Linked DNA regions of Oryzias latipes. The protein of the gene in region 1 interacts with the protein of each later gene in a pairwise test. Links are inferred from orthologs where the notes say so. Each region holds a gene or a part of one and is shown on either strand. Other genes may lie near its edges.

Region 1 (6,346 bases):
GTCTACCTGCATTGGTAGAAATACAGGTGGAGTCTGAAGCACATAGAACCAGACTCTCCCAGGAGACTATTTAAAAATGTCCCTTTCCAAGGTCCACTCACTGGCCACTTTCTTAAGCACACCTGTCCAACGACTCGTTCATGAACATTTCTAATCAGCCAATCTCATGGCAGCAACTCACTGCATGTAAGCGTGGTCCAGATGATCTGCTGCAGTTCAAACCCCGTATCAGAACGGAGAAGAAAAGGGATTGAAGTGACTTTGAACGTGGTTTATGGTGCCAGACAGGCTGGTCTGAGTATTTCAGAAACTGCTGATCTACTGGGACGTTCCCCCACAACCATGTATAGGGTTTACAGAGAATGGACAGAAAAAGAGAAAATATTCAGTGAGCTGCAGTTCTGTGAACAGAAATGCCTCGTTGATGCCAGAGGTCAGAGGAGAATGACCAGACTGGTTCCAGCTGATAGAAAGACAACAGAAACTCAAAGAACCACTGGTTCCAATTGAGGTCTGCAGAAGAGCATCTCTGAACGCACATGTCCAGCTTGGAGGCAGATGGACTACAGCAGCAGAAGACCACACCAGGTACCACTCCTGTCAGCTAAGAACAGGAAACTGAGGCTACAATTCACTCAGACTCACCAAAACTGGACAATAGAAGATTAGAAGAACGTCATCTGGTCTGATGAGTCTCCATGTGTAGCTGACAAATCTGCAGCAACTGTGTGATGCTGTCATGACATTATGGACCAAACTCTCTGAGGAATGTTTCCAGAACCTTGTTGAATCTATGCCACCAAGGATTAAGGCAGTTCTGAAGGTCAAAGGGGTCAAACCCAGAGCTAATAAAGTGGCCTGTGAGTGTAATCTGTGTAAAAATGGTCCATCTTACCTGCTCAATCTCCTTTAACTTCTTGTGATAGTGCTCAAGTTTCTTGTGCAAGTGTGCAATGGACTGTGCAGACTTCTGGTTCTTCTTTTCAAACACCTGCTTGATTCTGGAGGCCTGCTGTTTGTCCGCGTTATGGGCCAGCTTCAGGTACTCCGCCACGTTGTCATCGCGAGCCTCCTGCTCCACCCGGATCTGTTCTGTGACCTTCAGGATCTTCTGCTGCAGGTGCTCCAGAGCTGCACGTGTCCGCGGCGGCTCACCAGCCGCTGAGCCCTCAGCTCCACTCGCCACAACCGCAGCCGCTGTGGCCCCCGCTCCATCCGTGCTGATGTTGGTGTCAGAGCCACCATGGCTGCTGGTGGATGGTAGCCCCAGGGTCGAAACCTCACTCTTGTCCAGCTGAGGAGACATGAGCACAGGTCAGAGCCACAAAGGTCAGGCTGAAAACCAAACACTTAGGTTGTATTTTATCCAATCTTCCTTTAAACCAGAGGCCTGCATCCCTTAACCCTTGTGCTATCTTAGATGACCCCACCCTTACATTGACATGTTCTCTCTACCATGACAAAGGTGGATAAAGGTGGAAAGATTTCATGTAATCCATGGACACCAGTGAAGATCACAAATCATTGAAGAAAAAAGGTTCAGAGCACTGTCTAGTGGGTCTAGATGACCCAACTCCCAACGTTAAAGGGACTAGGATAGCACAAGGGTTAACGCTAAAAAATTCATTTGGTCCAGTTTCTTACAGAGTAAAGTCCAGCGAGAGCCAAAAACTCCTACCTCATCGTTTAAAATAAATATACATAATTTATGAATTGGTAACCATTCAGCCATTTACATTTATGAAATGTAGCTTTTAAATATTTACAATCATTAATATTATAGTGATAAAAATATTGTAATATTTTGTATACAACACTTAAAACAAGTTCCTTCTCAAAAATAAAATACACATGGTGTCAAATAAGACACAGATCTGCTGCAGCACATTTTACAGAATAAAAAATGCTAAATAATCGAGTCAAAGAGGATTTTTTCTATTATTCTGACCTCCTTTTTCTCCTTTTCCTATCATTTATAGACATGACAACATTGGTATAGAATCAAAATATCAAAAATATATGAATAAGTAACTGCAATTGTGTACTTCAGGAACTTGGTGTCTGAACAGCAACGACAGTGTTGTGCAGCAGAAGACAAGAGAACGTGGTTATCATTTTGCTCAGTTTTCTGACATGTAAAAAATCGAAACATAAATGACGTCCCTAGAGCCACAAGGGAGGAATAGAAAAGCCACCTGTGGACCACAGGTTGCTGACCCCTGCTTTTCAAATATGAGCAGACAGAAGTTATTTAATATTTAAGGCACAACATGGAAGGAAAATTTGAATTATTTTGAAGAGTAAAATGAAACTAACACGAAAGAAAATGATCACGAATTTGAAGTAATGACATAAGGCGTTTCAATAGTTTTGGATTCTTGTTCCACCAAGAGGAAATTCCAAGGCTTTCCAATCAATCCGAATGAGGTGGCAGAGAGGACAGGTAAAGGTGTGTTTGTCAGATTCTGTCTGTGTTGCCTGGATTGCTCCTTGGCTTCATTTAAAGGGTAATAAACAGGTTTTGCCAAGAAACAATCAAATTGTTGATTTAACATCTATTAAACACGCATTTCCTGCCTCTTGTGCTGTTAGCAACAACAATAAAGACTTGAAGGCTTTAAGGGGATTTTTTAGGGGTTTTCGGAGCATCTCAGTAGCAGCAAACACGTGAAAAACAAAGTGAAAGAGCTGAGCATGAACTGAAGCGGCCTGACTCATGGAGGAGCTCTAACAGCTCAGGCAGCAGAGAGCTGAGTGCAGCGGCCATCTTTATTAATTATGTGAAGCATAATTCTAGTTTCCTTCAGCAGAGCCTCAGAGCCTTACCCTAAAAACTGAAGATGACTTTTCTTATCAAATGCATGGATGGATGGAGATCTACCAGATCAGAGCTGTCCTTCTCTGAGGACAATCCTCCGGGACCTGCAGTGCCCCCCATGTGGGGGATTCCCTGCTCTGAATGCTGGGTGCAGCTGCATGGGGGGGGGGGGGGGGGTCTGGTTTGACTCCCCCGCCTGAAGCCAACACACCGCAATCTGACGCCTCAGAGCTGGAGCGCGCCAGCGGACGCATGACACCGACACGTCTATTTTTGCGCTGGAGCTGCGCGCCTGTGTGAGAGGAGCGAGCACGCGCGCGTTGGCTCTTCAAAGCGGGTTAGAATGGTGTCGGGGCAGATTCCAGATGAGCGCCGCGCGCGCAGATTAGTCCCGTCCTGATCTTGGGAGGGAAAGTGAGAAGCTAAGATGAGGCTTGCAGCATGGGACAGTAGGGGGGGGGGGGGGTGTCAGCATTGGCCCAGATACCAAACACAGAGCTGGGGGGTGGGGGGTGGGTGTCATAACATGCCTGAAGTTTGTAGTGTAAAAGCACACGGACGGCGCGGCGGAGGAGAGCCGAGCTGAGATGAAGATGGAGATGGCAGAAAACAACAGGACGTGGTCTGTCTGTGGCTTCCTGGAGACACACTGTGACACGAGAGATGGATGTCAACACGCGTGGATGTGGACGCACGAGGACGACACACACGCAGCACAGCGACGACAACAAAATATTCAATCAGAAACGTTACCATACTGCTTTAATCCAATTTTTGCAGCGACATTGCAAGTGTCTGTTCGAGGCCCATCCTCCTCCTCCTCCTCCTCTCTCCCTCCTCCCTCTTTGCACACCAAGGAGCAGCCCCCCTCCTCAAATGAGTCTGCTCCCAGCAGCTATCGCGCGCGCCATCACCGCTCCGGATTCTAACGCTCCATCGTTAACGACATCAGCATCCACAGCCTGCTCCCTCTGCGCTCGTCTGTTTTCCTCCCTCTCCTTTGTGTCGTACGACCACCCCCCCCTCCTCCTCCTCCTGCCGCCTCCCTCTGCTTCACCCTCCGCCCCGCTCTCCCTCCGCATCTCTCTGTCTGCGCAAATGGGAGCAGTTCTGCCCTGTAATGGATGAGGGAGCAGCAGGACAGATGATGGAGGGAATGGACAGAAGGAGGTGGGGGGAGGCTCAGCAGAGGGAGGGAGGGAGGGTGGCTCCAGGCCTGCACCTTGAGTGCAAACAGCCTGTGTGACTGATGCCAACACACACACACACACACACAGTGACCACCTCCCTTTTCTTGTGTGCTCATCACAGAAGATGAAGGAGGAGGCGCCACCACTGAGAACTTGTTGGAGTGTCCTCTGAAGATGTCAGTGTGTGTGTGTGTGTGTGTGTGTGTGTGTGTGTGTGGGTGTGTGTGTGTGTGTGTGTGCATGTGTGCAGGAGGATGGAGGCTGAGCGCACATGAAAGCAAGCTTTCATCAACACCTTCAAAAGCAGCTCCGGTCCAGAGAAGCTCAGGTTCCTCCTCTTTCAGGTGCAGCAGAGGAGCGTGGGAGAAGCGCTGAAGCTGTCAGGGAGGCTCCAGAAAAATCTGCTGCCCAGCAACAAACCAAAAACTGAAGACCTACAGTGGAGGAAAGAAGTGTTGCCGGTCTTGTTGTCTATTTTGAAAAATTGTGGACTTGGGCCCCTTTTGAACTAACCGATTCAAATGTCTTCTAAATCATTCCGATTTGGTGGCTGTTGCTTGGCAAAGCTGAGCTTCAGTTCTCTCCACAGGTTTTCTACAGGACTGAGGTCCAGAGACTGGCTGGACCGCTCCATGACCACGATCTGCTTCTTCAGCCTTGGTTGTCTTGGCTGTATGTTTTGGGTCAAGGTCCTGTTAAGAGCCACCCATCCACCACACATTTGGAGGTAAGCACATCCTCCCATCCACACGGGGAAGTTGCCCTGTGCAGAAAAAGCTCCCCACAGCATAATGCTTCCACCTCCATGCTTGACAGTGGGGATGGTGTTCTTGGGGTCAAAGGCAGCATTTCTCTTCCTCCAAACAAGACGGCTTGAGTCGGTAGATGCCAAAGAGCTCGTTGTTTGGTCTAATCTGACCACAGCACCTTCTTCCAATCACTGTCCAGTCATTAAGGTGTTCCCTGACACACTTCAGGTGGGCCGGCACATCTGCCTTCCTCAGCAGGGGGACTTAGCACTCTCTACTAGATGTCAAACCATTGCAGCATAAAGTATCACCAATGGTTTTCTTGGTGACTGTGGTCACAGCTGCTTTCAGATCATCAGCCCACTCCTGCCGTGTTGTTTTAGGCCAATTTCTCTCTGTTCTCATGATCATGGAAACCGTTTCCACCAGGACAGATCTGGTTTGGAGCCCCAGACCTAAAGGTCCACTGATGATTATGTTCTTGTGTTTTGGCAGAATTGCACCAACAATTGTCATGGTAACCCCCAGCTTCTTGCTGATGGTTTTGTTGTCCATCAGTTCTACAATCTTCTCCCTTAGATCCAATGAAAACTCTTTAGTCTTTTCCATGTCTGATGGACTCTGGACAGGTGTCTTTTCTACAGGCGTCTTCAATTCAGGTGACAGGTTGAAGAGGAGAGTCTAACTGGTCTGTGTGAACCAGAACTCTTAATGGTTGCTAGGGGATCAAACACTGGAGTCCCTTGATGAAATCTAAATAAATGTATATACGTTTGTTTGATGTGCTTTGTGATTTTCTATCTCTCACTGTTCAAATAAATCTACAGATGACAGATTGTCCTCTATTGTACCTGCAGAACATATTGGGAATTTCCTCCAGAACAGACATATAACACTAAAGCAGATTGCCATAAAATGCAAAGTAAAGCCAACAGAGAGAAGGCTGCAGTTGATCTGCTGGAGGGGGCGAGGACGGATCTCCATTCACTGTTTTTACGCCTCCTCTCTGCTCTTTGTCTCTTTCTTTTACTTGTTTAACTATAATCAGGATTGCAGCAAGAAGTATCACCAATGGTTTTCTTGGTGACTGTGGTCACAGCTGCTTTGAGATCATCAACCCACTCCTGCCGTGTTGTTTATTACCTCAACTCCCAGCACGAATAACCCAACAATTGTGTTGAAGAAAATAAAGGTGTGTGTAGAAAAACACAGATAAAACTCCTTCAGCGCTTCATCACCTCTTCCTCTCCTTGGATTGAGTTAGGATCCAGAAAAACCATCAGCCTTTTATTTCAGATTTATCACGGATCCACACAAACACGATGAATAACACAATAAATAAGAGTCGACTCCTGAGGAGCTGAAAAGTGATCGCATGACCAGAAGCATCAGCAGAAGTGCATTGGGGCAGGTTTGCTCTTTTCGAAGCCGTCAGTTCATACATGATTAAAGTGACCTTACATGACTCTCATCCAGATTAGGCGGAGCAGCAGGATTTGCTGGACAGATATGTCGTTTACAAGCGGAGAGCAGTAGTTCCATCCATGACACCTTTGCTCCTGATGGAAAAACCTTCCTCACGAATACAT
Region 2 (6,299 bases), on another chromosome or scaffold:
AGTCGCTGGTGGTGCTCTCCAGCTGCTCGGCGATCTCCGCCGCCCGCTTCTCCACATCAGCCGGGTTGCCCCCGCCCCTCAGCAGCAGGGTGTCGTCTTTGGTGATCTGGACTTCCCCCACCTTCCCAAAGTCATGAGCCTGGATGTCCTCCAGGGCTAGACCCAGGGCCTCGTCCCCAAACACCTGCGGGCGGGAGGACAGACGTGTGGAGAAGCTCCCGCTGTTTGACTGACCCCCGCCCCCACTCGGTTAGAGGTGACCTACAGTGCCCCCGGTGGCCACAGCCATGTCCTTCAGCTGGTTTTTCCTGTTGTCCCCGAAGCCTGGAGCTTTGACCGCAACCACCTGAAGCCCCACCTTTAGCCTGCGGACCACAGAACGTTTAGGATCCTCAGAACCGGACCGAGCCTTCCCGATCCGGACCAACCCTACCTGTTTAGGACCAGGGTGCTCAGCGCCTCCCCGTCCACGTCCTCCGCCACGATCACCAGCGGCTTACGGTGCTGGTTGGCGATTTCCAGAGCGGGAACGATGCTCTGCACGCTGGAGATCTTCTTCTCGCTCAGCAGCAGGTAGGCGTCCTGGAACTCACACTTCTGACCTGGTGGCAGTGGGGAGACCGGGGTCAGCGGGGAGCTGCTTCCAGGTGAGGCTGGGGGGAGGAGCCTTACCTTTGGCGGTGTTGATGAAGTAGGGAGAGATGTAACCGCGGTCAAACTTCATGCCCTCGATGATCTCCAGCTCGTCCTGCAGCGTTTTCCCGTCCTGCGGCAGAAGGAATGAATGTTAACCAGAAAGCTTCTAGACGCCGTCAAAGGTTGGACAATGAGGACACAGGAAGTCCTCTCAGAGGCTTTGGTCCAACCCCCCATGTATGGACGCAGAACGTGCTGCCATCATTTGCCACATAACGGTCATCCAGAACCGGAGGATGTTCTCCACTCCGGTGGGTGGACTCCTCGCAGCCCCTCCCCCTCACCTTCACGGTGATGACTCCTTTGCGGCCCACTTTCTTCATTGCGTTGGAGATGATGTTTCCGATCTCCGTGTCTCCATTGGCTGAGATGGTTGCGACCTGAAACGACACGCGTGATGAGTGAGGGTGACCGTGTGGAGACGGCGTCAGGACAACCGGATGCCCTTCCCAGACCTGTGCGATCTCCTCTGGGGTGGTGACGGGCTTGGAGAGTCTCTGCAGCTCGCCGATGACCGCCTCCACCGCCATCATGACGCCGCGGCGGATCTCCACAGGGTTTGCACCTTTGCTGATGTTGTCGAAGCCCTCCTTGGCGATGGCTCTGGCCAGCACCGTGGCGGTGGTGGTGCCATCGCCAGCCTCCTCGTTGGTGTTGTTTGCCACATCCTGCACCAGCCTGGCACCGATGTTCTTGTACTTGTCCTTCAGATCGATGCTCTTGGCCACCGTCACGCCGTCCTTGGTGACCTTGGGGCTGCCCCAGCTCTGCTCGATGATGACAGTGCGTCCCTGGACCGGGAAGACGATGCTTAAAACATTCGACTGGAGCACTTTCACACCTTTCCTGTTCTGTTTCCAAACCTAATCCACCCGTCAGCGGGTTTGTTACCTTTGGGCCCATGGTGACGGCCACAGCATCCGCCAACAGGTCCACCCCCTGCAGCATGAGCGCCCGAGCGTCCGCCCCGAACTTCACGTCCTTGGCGTAGGCCCGTGTGAGATGAGGGGCCAGCGCCCGGCTCACGGGCCTCACCTGCCTCATGACTGTCGCTAAACGAAACATCTCTGTGGAGAAAAGCAGTGAAGCCATTGAGGATCCTACAGGACCAGCAGTACCGCCCGGTGGTCACCAGTGGAATTACAGTGAGCGGGAACTTAAGCAAACCCACGTGACACGCAGCATCTAAGCATCCTTAAGATGCAGACTGAGCACAAGCAAGCAGTTAATTTTTACCAGAAACATCATCTGAAACTGGGAATTTGTGACCAAGTTCAGAACATCCTGCTTAAATTGTGGGGGGAGAGGAAAGTAACTTCATCTGTGCTGCATGTCTGTCTTGTGTCTGCAGCATATTTGACAACAAAGCTGACTTTGACTTGTTTCTCCTCAGTCGGCCTGATCTTGGTTCAGCAGCATTTCAAACTGTAACAAGCGGGTCACACTCATTTTCACTGAGGGCCACATCAGCATAGTGTCTGTCCTCAAAGGGCCAGATGTAACTTATACATGTAACTAAATGTAATGAAAATAAATGCAACTACTCCTTAATGATAAATAACTCATTATTTATTTATTATAACTTTTTAAATTGACAATTCCAGCTGCATAGAAAACATATGTTTGCTTGTTATTCTAACACAAATCCTTTTACATTTGATTCTGTCAGGTTAGGTTATGTGGACAGTGTTTAAGTCCTGATGTATAGATGACCAATCCAACATTTAAATCCAATTCCCCCCAGATATGAATAAATACACACCAATGTTTATTTTTTATTCCAAGAAATTAAACACCTTTATGTTCTCGTGGGCCACATAAAATGACACGGAGGGCCACATTTGGCCCCCGGGCCTTGAGGTTGACACATGCTGTAGACGGTCAGGTTAAAGCCAGAAACGCTCCACCATCATCAGCTCCAATGGAGCATCCAGAACCCAGCCCGACATTCCCGCAGCTTCCATGCGTCCAGACGGGAGGAGGTAAGGGGGCGGAGTCAAGGACACGGCCTCGGGCCCGAACTTCTGATTGGTGGAGTATAACTGATGGGACCCTCCAAGCTGCCTCTCATTCATTCCTACGGTGACAGATCTGCTACCATTTCCTCAAACACGCCTTTTAAAATGACCGAAATACCAAAAGATAAACTTTAGTTTCCAGAACAACAGCGGCTGTTACAGTTTTCGGAATAATAATTGCAGCTTATTTCATTCAAATGAAGCTTTTCATGAATAAAGGATTCTTAACCCCTCCTGGGGGCACTAGAACCTGGTCCTACCGGGTAACGCCTGGTGAGAACCAGTCTGAGGGGTTATTAAAGCCCCACATGCCCCGCAGTCTGCTCACAGCCCCCGGTTCCCCACGTGAGCTCCTCCGGTCGTACGTCACAAGGTCAAACGTTAGAGCTCGTGCCGGCTCCCTGGACGGATTCCCTCAGCCGCTCCAGAGTAACGGGATTACACGGGGGTAACTGAGTATTTGACACGTCCCTGCCGCGGTCCCGGAATCATCAGGACGAACCGGTCCGCATACGCCAGAACCGGCTGTTCAGACAAACCCGAGCTCGGTTCTGTTCGGTTCTCCACGCACCGACAGGACAAAGTGCCGCGCGCGCAGAGACGGATCCCTGCTGCGGGTTCGGACGGTCGGTTCTTACCTGACAGGGAACCGCTGCGATCTGCCGCACGCGCTGCACGAGTGATCTAACGGAGAATACCGCACGTGGGGAATCACATCCGGGTTATGTACGGCCCCGCCCAGAACTCTGTATGACGCATAACTACTTCAATAAAACTTCTCTTTTACGTTCAAGTTGTTATCCCCGTCTTTAATCTTCATGGAGACGTTTATTCATACCTGCGCAGAATGTTCTGATCATTTATTCTCACATGAACTTTGTTACAACTAACAGAGAAACGCAGCAACGCACACTTATGCTGGTTCCTGGGCTACGATTCCAGAATTTTCCGTACCCCATTGGAGGAAAAAAAAGAGGTCAAAGGTCACATTGTGCAACATTGCGCGAGCCCGTAGAGAGTGACTTTGAAACGAAATCACCGTTTCAATGACAAATGCGGCCTAGATAGACCGGAACTGTAGGTACGGGTCTGCCTGCAGCCCCGCTGTTCTGGAGCTTTCTGTCAGCGCCTCGTTACTGCGCATGCGCGATCTGGAGGCTTCCCTCACGTGGAGACAAAGTGCAGACGGTCCGAAGCTCTCTCAGTGAAGACGTGCAGCTCTGCGCAAGCGCTCAAAAATGGTGAGGAGAGAGAAAATGATGGGATTTCTGGTTGTTTACAGCATTTAACGTCTGTCTCTGTTAGCGCGCGGGGGGGGGGGGGGGGGGGTAGTGATTGGGCTAACGATGATGACCACCACGCGCAAGGTCACGCGTCCGGTGTGCTATCCGCCGGTTCCGTTAAACCAGCTCCGTGCACTGCGCCCCATTCAGCTTATGGGACGGCGTTCGGCGCGGCGTGCCTTGCTCAAGGACACTTCCATAAGACACCGACCAGCTGCTGAACCGCGTCATCGGGTTAGCCTGGAGTGGATCGGGTTAGAAGCGAGTCAAAGACCACAGCAGCCCACGTGCTTCTTTTTTCAGACTGCGGGATCAACACCGTGAATATCTTAAGGACAGTAGTGCGTGTACACGGATGTGCGTGCACGTGTCCTGCTGGTCACCTGGTCAGGTGTGTTTAGCCAATAAGGAGCTTGAGCGGCAGGTTGGTTAGAACATGTAGGACACCGGCCCTCCAGGCCTGGATTTGGGGCCCCTGCTCTGGAGGGTCCTCGGCCTGTGGGACCTCTTCCTGGGGTCCAGGTGCTGCTCCAGGGCGCCACCTGCTGTCGGGTTTGGATGCCGTGGATGCCTGCTGTGGTTTTTGGGTGGTTCGGCCCGGTTCTCCTCTCGGTTCGGGTCAGTTTTAGTCTGGTCGGGGGGTGTCTTAAAGTCGGACCTCTTCTCTCTGAGTTTCCCTCTGACGTAGGTCGGATTCAGACTCGGGTTTGAAGGTTTCATTGCGTCTTCATGCAGTTCTGCTGTGGGGGCGGGACGGTTGATGAGCCGGCTCCTCCGTGTTTGGGTCGGGCAGCATGGGTGGAGCCTGTGGAGACTGGAATGAGCCGGAGAGGCTGTTTGCTCAGGATCTGGGGGGGGGGGTGTCCTCGGCCTGCCTGCTCTCAGGGTAAACGGGCTCATCCAACGGCAGCATCCGGCTGAAGGACGGCGTTTCCACTGACCTGGACCCCTTCAGCTGTTCTAGACCTTAAGCTGTTCTCCACAGAACAGCTGATGCTGCAGGCGACCTTCTGTGGTGTCATCAGTAAGGGGGCGGGGACTGTGGCAGCTGCCTGCTGATGGCTTCACGCCGTGCAGAAGGCCAAAGCAGAACTTTGTCTGTGATGCTCTGTGGGTCTCAGCCGACCCGCTGTTCTGGCAGAGTCTGACCTCTCTTCAGAGCCGGTCTTCCGTTTGAACTCTGTGACCCCGTCTGAGCGTGCACGTCTGTCTGTCTCACCTGCAGGCCTTCAGGAAGTTCCTCCCTCTGTTCGACCGCGTGCTGGTGGAGCGTCTCATGGCGGAAACCGTCACCAAGGGGGGCATCATGCTGCCGGAGAAGTCTCAGGGGAAGGTGCTGCAGGCCACCGTGGTGGCGGTCGGGCCCGGCTCCATGAACCAGGTAACGTGCTGGACCACGGCGCACGCCCCACGCCACAAGAGAACATGTGAAGCTGCTCCCTGAAGGAAAGAGCAGATAGAAGCTAGAAGAGCTACCCCCCCCCCCCCCCATCCTCACTCATGAACCAACATTCAGCTGAAAGTTCAGTCTGACTTCATGAACTCTGACTTGGTTTCGCTTTAACACAGATTCTTCTGCTACTTTTAGACAAACGCAGCTTTTCTTTCATCACAGACTCAGGTTGTGTCTGAATTCCTTTACTAATCACTCTAACGGGGCGGTTTCCATGTTCTAGTTTGTCTGAATCTACAATCCAGAATCATAGAAATCCATGCTCACTAGATTGGTGAATATAGACCACAATGCATTGCATCAGAGCAATTTTTGCCAAATAAATGTAATTTAATGTATGTTTTGGATAAGCCATCAACGTTTTTATCTTCAGATGACAGTGGACTCATCAATGATCATCCATAAACGCTCATCAATGATCCGCCGTTTAAAACTAAAAGTCAGCTTGGCGTCTGAATTACTAGATAGTTTTTTAGTAGTTAGGGCAGGGATTCGGACACAGCTTCTGTCATTTTATCAGCAATAGTTCCCCCCTGTTAGGGGTGGTCTGACGGTTGCCATGGATACCGCTGAGCATCGACTGCAGCTCTGCAGTGTAAAAAAACTGCGTCTCGTAGCCGCCCCAGATCAGACACGCTCAGCCCCGCAGCCATGTTTTTGCTGCTTATCCTAAAAACCCGTCCCCCCCTACTGTTACTGGTGCCTCAATGAGCAGAACTCCCCAGAGGTCCGGTCCAAAACCCATTTCCACACGACTGGAACACTGCTTCCTCTGTTTGGTCTTCCAGAAAGGTGAGGTTCAGCCGATGAGCGTGAAGGTTGGAGAGAAGGTGCTGCTTCCAGAATATG
Region 3 (6,394 bases), on another chromosome or scaffold:
TGAGTTTACAGTTAGGACATGCCAAAGACATGTCAGAATCTCAACATCATGACTGCGGGGTGGGGGGTGAGGGTACAAAAAACCTTATGTTTGTCAAGCATGGCTGTAACTGAGGGTTACACATTGTGGTCACAACTAATTTAACTTGCTCCCAAAATACTATTTTTAAGCACAACTGCATTAGAAATATAAATAGTTCAACCCTTAATGCAAATTAAGATATTGGCAAATATTTCACTCTTTCAGATGTATTTGACTGTGTGCCCACAGGTTTACAGTATGAAGAACACTTATCAGGTAATTTTTACATTTTTATTATCATTTCTTTAAAACATTTCTTACATGCACAACAAAAACAAAACCTGGTTATTCACAAAAACACTTACGGCCCTCAGCTTTCTGTCATGCCATTCATCAGCAGTGATGTATTTCCCAGGAGTGACCAGCTTGTCTTTCATACATGAGACATAACAGCCGATACCAGCCATCTGGGTGGAAGTGTTGACTAGACACTGCTGGTTGTGAGATTTCAATCGAACCGTCTGTTAAAAGAACAAAACAGAAGCAATGACTAAAGTCTAATGTGTTTCTCTGCCTTGACATGTATGGTAGAAAACAGTGAAGTGATTTATACATTTGTCAAAGCAAATATGATGTTACTGCATTTACAGTCTTTACTAATTCTAGTTTTCTATAGTTTATTTTACATACTCAATTTCAGAAACCATCCAACAATTTATTTATGTACAACTATGTCTCAAAAATCCATAAATACAGTTTGTTCTGGTGGTAAGGTCCTTTACTTTATCAAAAAATACCAAGTGCCCTCATCCTTTGCAAAACACTTGATGGCAGCAAAAAAGAATCAAGGCATCATTACAGTCCTTGTTTTTGTTCCCCCTTTGCCATATCCCTTCAGGGTTTGCCATTCAATCAGCTTTTACTGATTCGCACAGGTGGTTTGGCAGAGATTTTTACGCCGGATGCCCTTACTGACACATCTTTATATTTTTTCCGGGCTAGGGACCGGCACACGCCTTGTGGCTACATGGTTAGGCAGTAACCCGAAGGGTTTGCCCAAGGACTTTCACTGGATGAAGCTCATTGCACCCCTGGGAATAAAACCCCAGACATCAAGCCATCACGTGTAGAAACACTTTGAATTTAGCAAAGTCATGTGACCATCCAGTGTCTAGAATGTTCTGATAATGTTCCCTTTGAATTCTTTGGAGGTGGAAAAACGTGGACTGAACTTTAGGACACTAACATGTGAATGGATTTGACATTCATTCTAGTTTACTTGTTTGTTTGGACACAGATTTAATCTATACTTGATGATCTGGAAGAAATCCAAGAATCTGGAAAACTTCACTGTTCAGTGGCAGGATGTTCTGTCTGAGTCACACTGGTGGAGGTTTTGGATAAAGATGTTCTGGATCCACTTTAGGTCAGTGATTTGGATCAAATCGAATCGTTCCAAATGAACCAATATTGACTATGAACCGTATCATCAACCACAAATGATGGTGTTTAATCATTGTTTATATTAATCTTTAGATCCCTATTATTTAAGTTCTGTTCTTTACCTGTGAGTCCCGACTAAAGACAGTCATGCCTCTGTCAGGTTTTTTGCGGGGGAGGGTTTGGACAGCAGCATGGTGGTACTCGGTTCCTGTCAACTGGTGGCGGTATCCACCAAGAAAAGCCTTCTGCTTGTAGGAATGCTCATTCTTCACCACCACAAACTCCACTCCAGCACAATCTGAAAGTGCATTAGTAAAAGATACACAGTGTAAATAATTAACAAGCTGGCAAACTTTAAGGTACAGAATGACGCTATCACAATTAGGTTAAGTGGAAAAGAAATCATGATTATTCTGAACTATTTTTAATATTTATTTGTCTGTTCAATTATTTCTGTCTTGTTTCCCTTTTGCTCAATACTGTACAAGAAAAAAAGATTTGAAATATTTGTTTCACAGCTTTTTGTTAGAATACCCATGCGATTCATAATAACATTGAGCAGTTATTGTTATTGTTGGAGCAATTTAAAGACACTTAAGTCTTTAACAAGGAAATAATGAAAAAATTCTAATGGGTCAAAGTTTTCCCCGCACGTCCTGCTAGTCTTGAAATCGGGAGAAATAACGAAGTGACCATGGACTGTGGTACAGAGAGATGAGTTTAATGCTATGTAAAAAGAAGAAAATGTGTCCTCTTCAGAGAAAAATGGGGGGGGGGGGGGGGCATACAGATAAAAAAGCACTTTTGCTGCACAAAAACAGATTATGTTTTTTCAGGCCACAATCTAATTCCAGCGCACAGTTTACTAATCTGTGCTCACGGTTTATCAGATTTTTTTTCTTTTTAACCACTGGCACCTGAAGGGCTCAATAGTTTTCCTTTATTTTTCAAGAAGAAAATTATACCCAACATGTGATCACTTAAAATGCCATAACTTTCTTATTTTCTGAATGATTTTTATTGGAAAGGTTTCTGTAACCCAGGACTGCTCATCCCCGGTTCTGGAGATCTACCCCCCTGCCTGTTTTCCAGCTCTCCCTGCACTGCTTGCTGCTGATTACCTGGACCAGGTTTGTTCAGTCAATCAGTGTGGAGACATCTGATTGAACTAATCAGCAGCTAGCAGGACTATATATATATAATAATATTAATCATGTTAATTTCCTTTTTAATTCATAACTAGTAACTACTATGTAAGGAATAACAAGTGTCTGTGGAGACCTGATTGTGTCAGATGGTTGCTTCTGTGAAGTCCATTCATTTCTGATAATCAACACTGAATAACATTATAATTAGATTTAAGTAGAGATTTAAGCTTAAATCGTTTTTCACAAAAAGCAAACTATTTAAAACATGAGCAATGGGCTGCCGTGGTGACGGCCTTAGTGCATCAGCATTGCTCAGCCCGCTCCTCTGAACATCATCACACGTTAAACATAGCATCATTTCAGTGGGAAAGTTCACTGTTAATAAATTGCACACACACACAAAAAAAATCCAAAGACAGCACTTCAGAAAAATGGTACTGTCACTCAACTAAGGTGTGTGTCTGCCCCCACCAGCAGGGGGCCTTACCTGCAAGAACCGGTTCTTCCTCATGTCCCAGAGCTGGCGGCTCCAAAGCTCCAACTTTGCTGAGTTGAGGGTTTGCTGTTTCATCCACCTCTTCTTGTTTTACACATTCTTTTAGAATCTGGCTTTGTTCCATTGGAGTCTTTCTCAGTGTTTCTTTAGAGATAAACCGCCACCTTACTGGGAAAAGCAGAATCAGACTAGAAAGGACCAGCAGAATTATGAACGTTCAGTTTCCCCCCAATTTGAGGATCAATGTAGCAATCGAAACGCGGCAAGCTTTGGACCGGTGGGAAGCTGCAGTGTACGCGTTGTTATGGCAACAGAAAGGAACGCCTGCAGTCCAGCAGACCGCACGCGGGCGGTCCAGCCTCGCGCATGCTCACACCTCGCGCTGCCGCCTGCTCATTCCTTGTGGCTGCCACGGCCGTTTAAGAAGTTTCTTTTGTTTCAAATTAATATTTGTGTCACAAGCCACCTGTCTCTGTTTGGACTCCATTACAGCCGCGATTTTAACATTTTAGTGACAAACATTTTAGTTTTGGGAAAGATAGGTGGAGACGAAAACTCGGGTTCAATAGAGCTCGAGCAACAGAAAGCATCCGAGAAACTAGTCACAAAAGCGGATTTGTTTGTTCTGATGATGGTCCGACAACACTGACGCTTCGGCTCACGTGTCGAGCTCATAAAGTGAAACCCCGTGTAGGTGCGTGGATCGCTTCAGAAGAAGTCACGTGACCGATGCAGCTACTGTGTTGGTGTGTCACAGGAGCCAAACAAGGAAGGAAGGAACCAGCAGTGTTGCCGGATTATGCGGTTTTCCACCCAATTTGGTGGGTTTGATTTTGTGAAGAATAGTTGATGTGGCGGTTTTCGCGTCAATTTGGCAGGTTTCAGTTAGTTTTATTACGAGTCTTTTATCATCACCATCTTTTATTTTGATAGACATTTTATTTTGAAACATTACCGGATCTTCTTGGGTATATTACTGTCACCTGGGTGCTAATCAGTCCAACGGTGAGTTTAACAGGGTTGGGATAACTTTGGAGCGATATTTCTGCCACAACATTGCACACAAAACTTTCAACTTTTAAGTTGCAAATGAAAATATTAAATATTTGCTTTTCAATTATTTTTTTATTTTGCTTTTCTTCTTCTTTCTCTTTCGGCTTTTCCCATCAGGGGTCGCCACAGCGAATCATCCTTTTCCACCTCACTCTATCATGGACATCTTCTACCCTAACATTAGCCAACTTCATGTCCTCTGTTAAGACATCCATGTATCTCCTCTTTGGCCGTCCTCTTGCCCTCCTGCCAGGCAGCTCCATCTCCAACATCCTTCTACCAATATATCCACTATCCCTCCTCTGAACATGTCCAAACCATCTCAGTCTGGCTTCTCTGACTTTGTCGCTGACACAGGCAACATGAGCCGTCCCTCTGATGTACTCGTTCCTTATCCTGTCTAACCTGGTCACTCCTAAGGAGAACCTCAACATCTTCATCTCTGCTACCTCCAAATCAGCCTCTTGTCTCTGTCTCACTGCTACCGTCTCTAACCCATAGAGCAGAGCTGGTCTCACCACTGTCTTGTACACCTTTCCTTTGAGTCTTGCTGGCACTCTTCTGTCACACAACACTCCTGACACTTTCCTCCAACCGCTCCAACCTGCCTGCACTCGCCTCTTCACCTCTTTTCCACAATCCCCATCACACTGAACTGTTGACCCCAAGTACTTAAACTCCTGCACCTTCTTCACCTCAGTCCCCTGTAACCTAATGCTTCTACCTTGATCCCTCTCGTTCAGACACATGTATTCTGTCTTACTACGACTGACCTTCATACCTCTTCTTTCCAGAGCAAACCTCCACCTCTCTAGCTGTTCCTCCACCTGCTCTCTACTCTCACTGCAAATTACAATGTCATCCGCAAACATCATTGTCCAGGGAGATTCCTGTCTTACCTCGTCTGTCAGCCTGTCCATCAGCATAGCAAACAAAAAAGGACTCAAAGCTGATCCTTGGTGTAGTCCCACCTCCACCTTGAACTCCTCTGTCTGACCTACAGCACATCTCACCACCGTCATACTTCTCTCATACATGTCCTGAACTACTCTGACATACTTTTCTGCCACTCCAGACGACCTCATACAGTACCACAGCTCCTCCCTCGGCACCCTGTCATACGCCTTCTCTAAATCTACGAACACACAATGCAGCTCCTTCTGACCTTCTCTGTACTTTTCCATCAACATTCTCAAAGCAAAAATGGCATCAGTGGTGCTCTTACGGGGCATGAAACCATACTGCTGCTCACAAATCTCCACCTTCTTCCTAAGCCTGGCTTCCACTACTCTTTCCCACAGCTTCATTGTGTGGCTCATCAACTTTATTCCTCTATAGTTGCTGCAGTTCTGCGTGTCACCCTTGTTCTTAAAGATTGGGACCAGAACGCTTCTCCTCCATTCCTCAGGCATCTTCTCACTCTCTAAAATCCTATTGAACAACCTTGTTAGAAATTCCACTGCTGTCTCTCCTAGGCACTTCCATACCTCCACAGGTACGTCATCAGGACCAACGGCCTTTCCGCTCTTCATCCTTTTCAGAGCCTTCCTAACCTCATCCTTTCCAATCTCTGCTACTTCCTGCTCCACAACAACCACATCTTCCTCCCTTCTTTCCCTGTCATTTTCCTCGTTCATCAGCTCCTCAAAATACTCCTTCCATCTTTTCTGTACACTCTCTTGGGTTGTTAGCACCTTTCCATCTCTGTCCTTAATCACCCTTATCTGTTGCACGTCCTTCCCATCTCTGTCTCTCTGTCTGGCTAGCCTGTACAAGTCCTTCTCTCCTTCCTTTGTGTCTAACCTGTCATATAGCTCATCGTAAGCTTTCTGTTTGGCCTTTGCCACCTCTCTCTTCACTCTACGCTGCGCTTCCTTGTACTCCTGTCTACCTTCCTCAGTCCTTTCTACATCCCACTTCCTTTTAGCCAACCTCTTCCTCTGGACGCATTCCTGTACTTCCTCATTCCACCACCAAGTCTCTTTACCGTCTTTCCTCTTTCCAGATGACACACCTAGCACCTTCCTACCTGTTTCCCTGATAATCTCTGCTGTAGTTTCCCAGTCCTCTGGAAGCTCATCCTGACCACCCAGGACCTGCCTCAACTTCTGCCTAAATTCCTCACAAGTTTCTTCATTCTGTAGCTTCCACCACTTGGTCTTCTTTTCTGTTTTCCCTCTCTTCTTCTTCCTGACCTCCAGAGTCATCTTACACACCACCATGCGGTGCTGTC

Evidence for each region.
Region 2: the proteins of tmcc2 (region 1) and hspd1 interact in a two-hybrid assay, tested with the Homo sapiens proteins (2 studies listed by BioGRID). The two-hybrid records come from large-scale screens. The link is inferred for Oryzias latipes from reciprocal best matches to the Homo sapiens genes TMCC2 and HSPD1.
Region 3: the proteins of tmcc2 (region 1) and iqub interact in a two-hybrid assay, tested with the Homo sapiens proteins (2 studies listed by BioGRID and IntAct). The two-hybrid records come from large-scale screens. The link is inferred for Oryzias latipes from reciprocal best matches to the Homo sapiens genes TMCC2 and IQUB.

Annotation. Positions count from the first base shown.
Region 1 is NC_019863.2:2,301,964-2,308,309, forward strand, and holds the start of tmcc2 (transmembrane and coiled-coil domains protein 2), read right to left. Parts: upstream 3,876-6,346; 5' UTR 3,575-3,875; coding exon 3,572-3,574; intron 1,295-3,571; coding exon 896-1,294; intron 1-895.
Region 2 is NC_019879.2:152,915-159,213, reverse strand, and holds the start of hspd1 (60 kDa heat shock protein, mitochondrial), read right to left. Parts: upstream 3,465-6,299; 5' UTR 3,353-3,464; intron 1,764-3,352; 5' UTR 1,762-1,763; coding exon 1,588-1,761; intron 1,488-1,587; coding exon 1,152-1,487; intron 1,077-1,151; coding exon 981-1,076; intron 767-980; coding exon 673-766; intron 603-672; coding exon 434-602; intron 366-433; coding exon 266-365; intron 185-265; coding exon 1-184. UniProt on the Homo sapiens protein: Chaperonin implicated in mitochondrial protein import and macromolecular assembly. Together with Hsp10, facilitates the correct folding of imported proteins.
Region 3 is NC_019864.2:6,248,949-6,255,342, reverse strand, and holds the start of iqub (IQ and ubiquitin-like domain-containing protein), read right to left. Parts: upstream 3,465-6,394; 5' UTR 3,233-3,464; coding exon 3,100-3,232; intron 1,763-3,099; coding exon 1,587-1,762; intron 543-1,586; coding exon 387-542; intron 1-386. UniProt on the Homo sapiens protein: Adapter protein that anchors the radial spoke 1 (RS1) complex to the A microtubule of outer doublet microtubules in axonemes. The triple radial spokes (RS1, RS2 and RS3) are required to modulate beating of the sperm flagellum.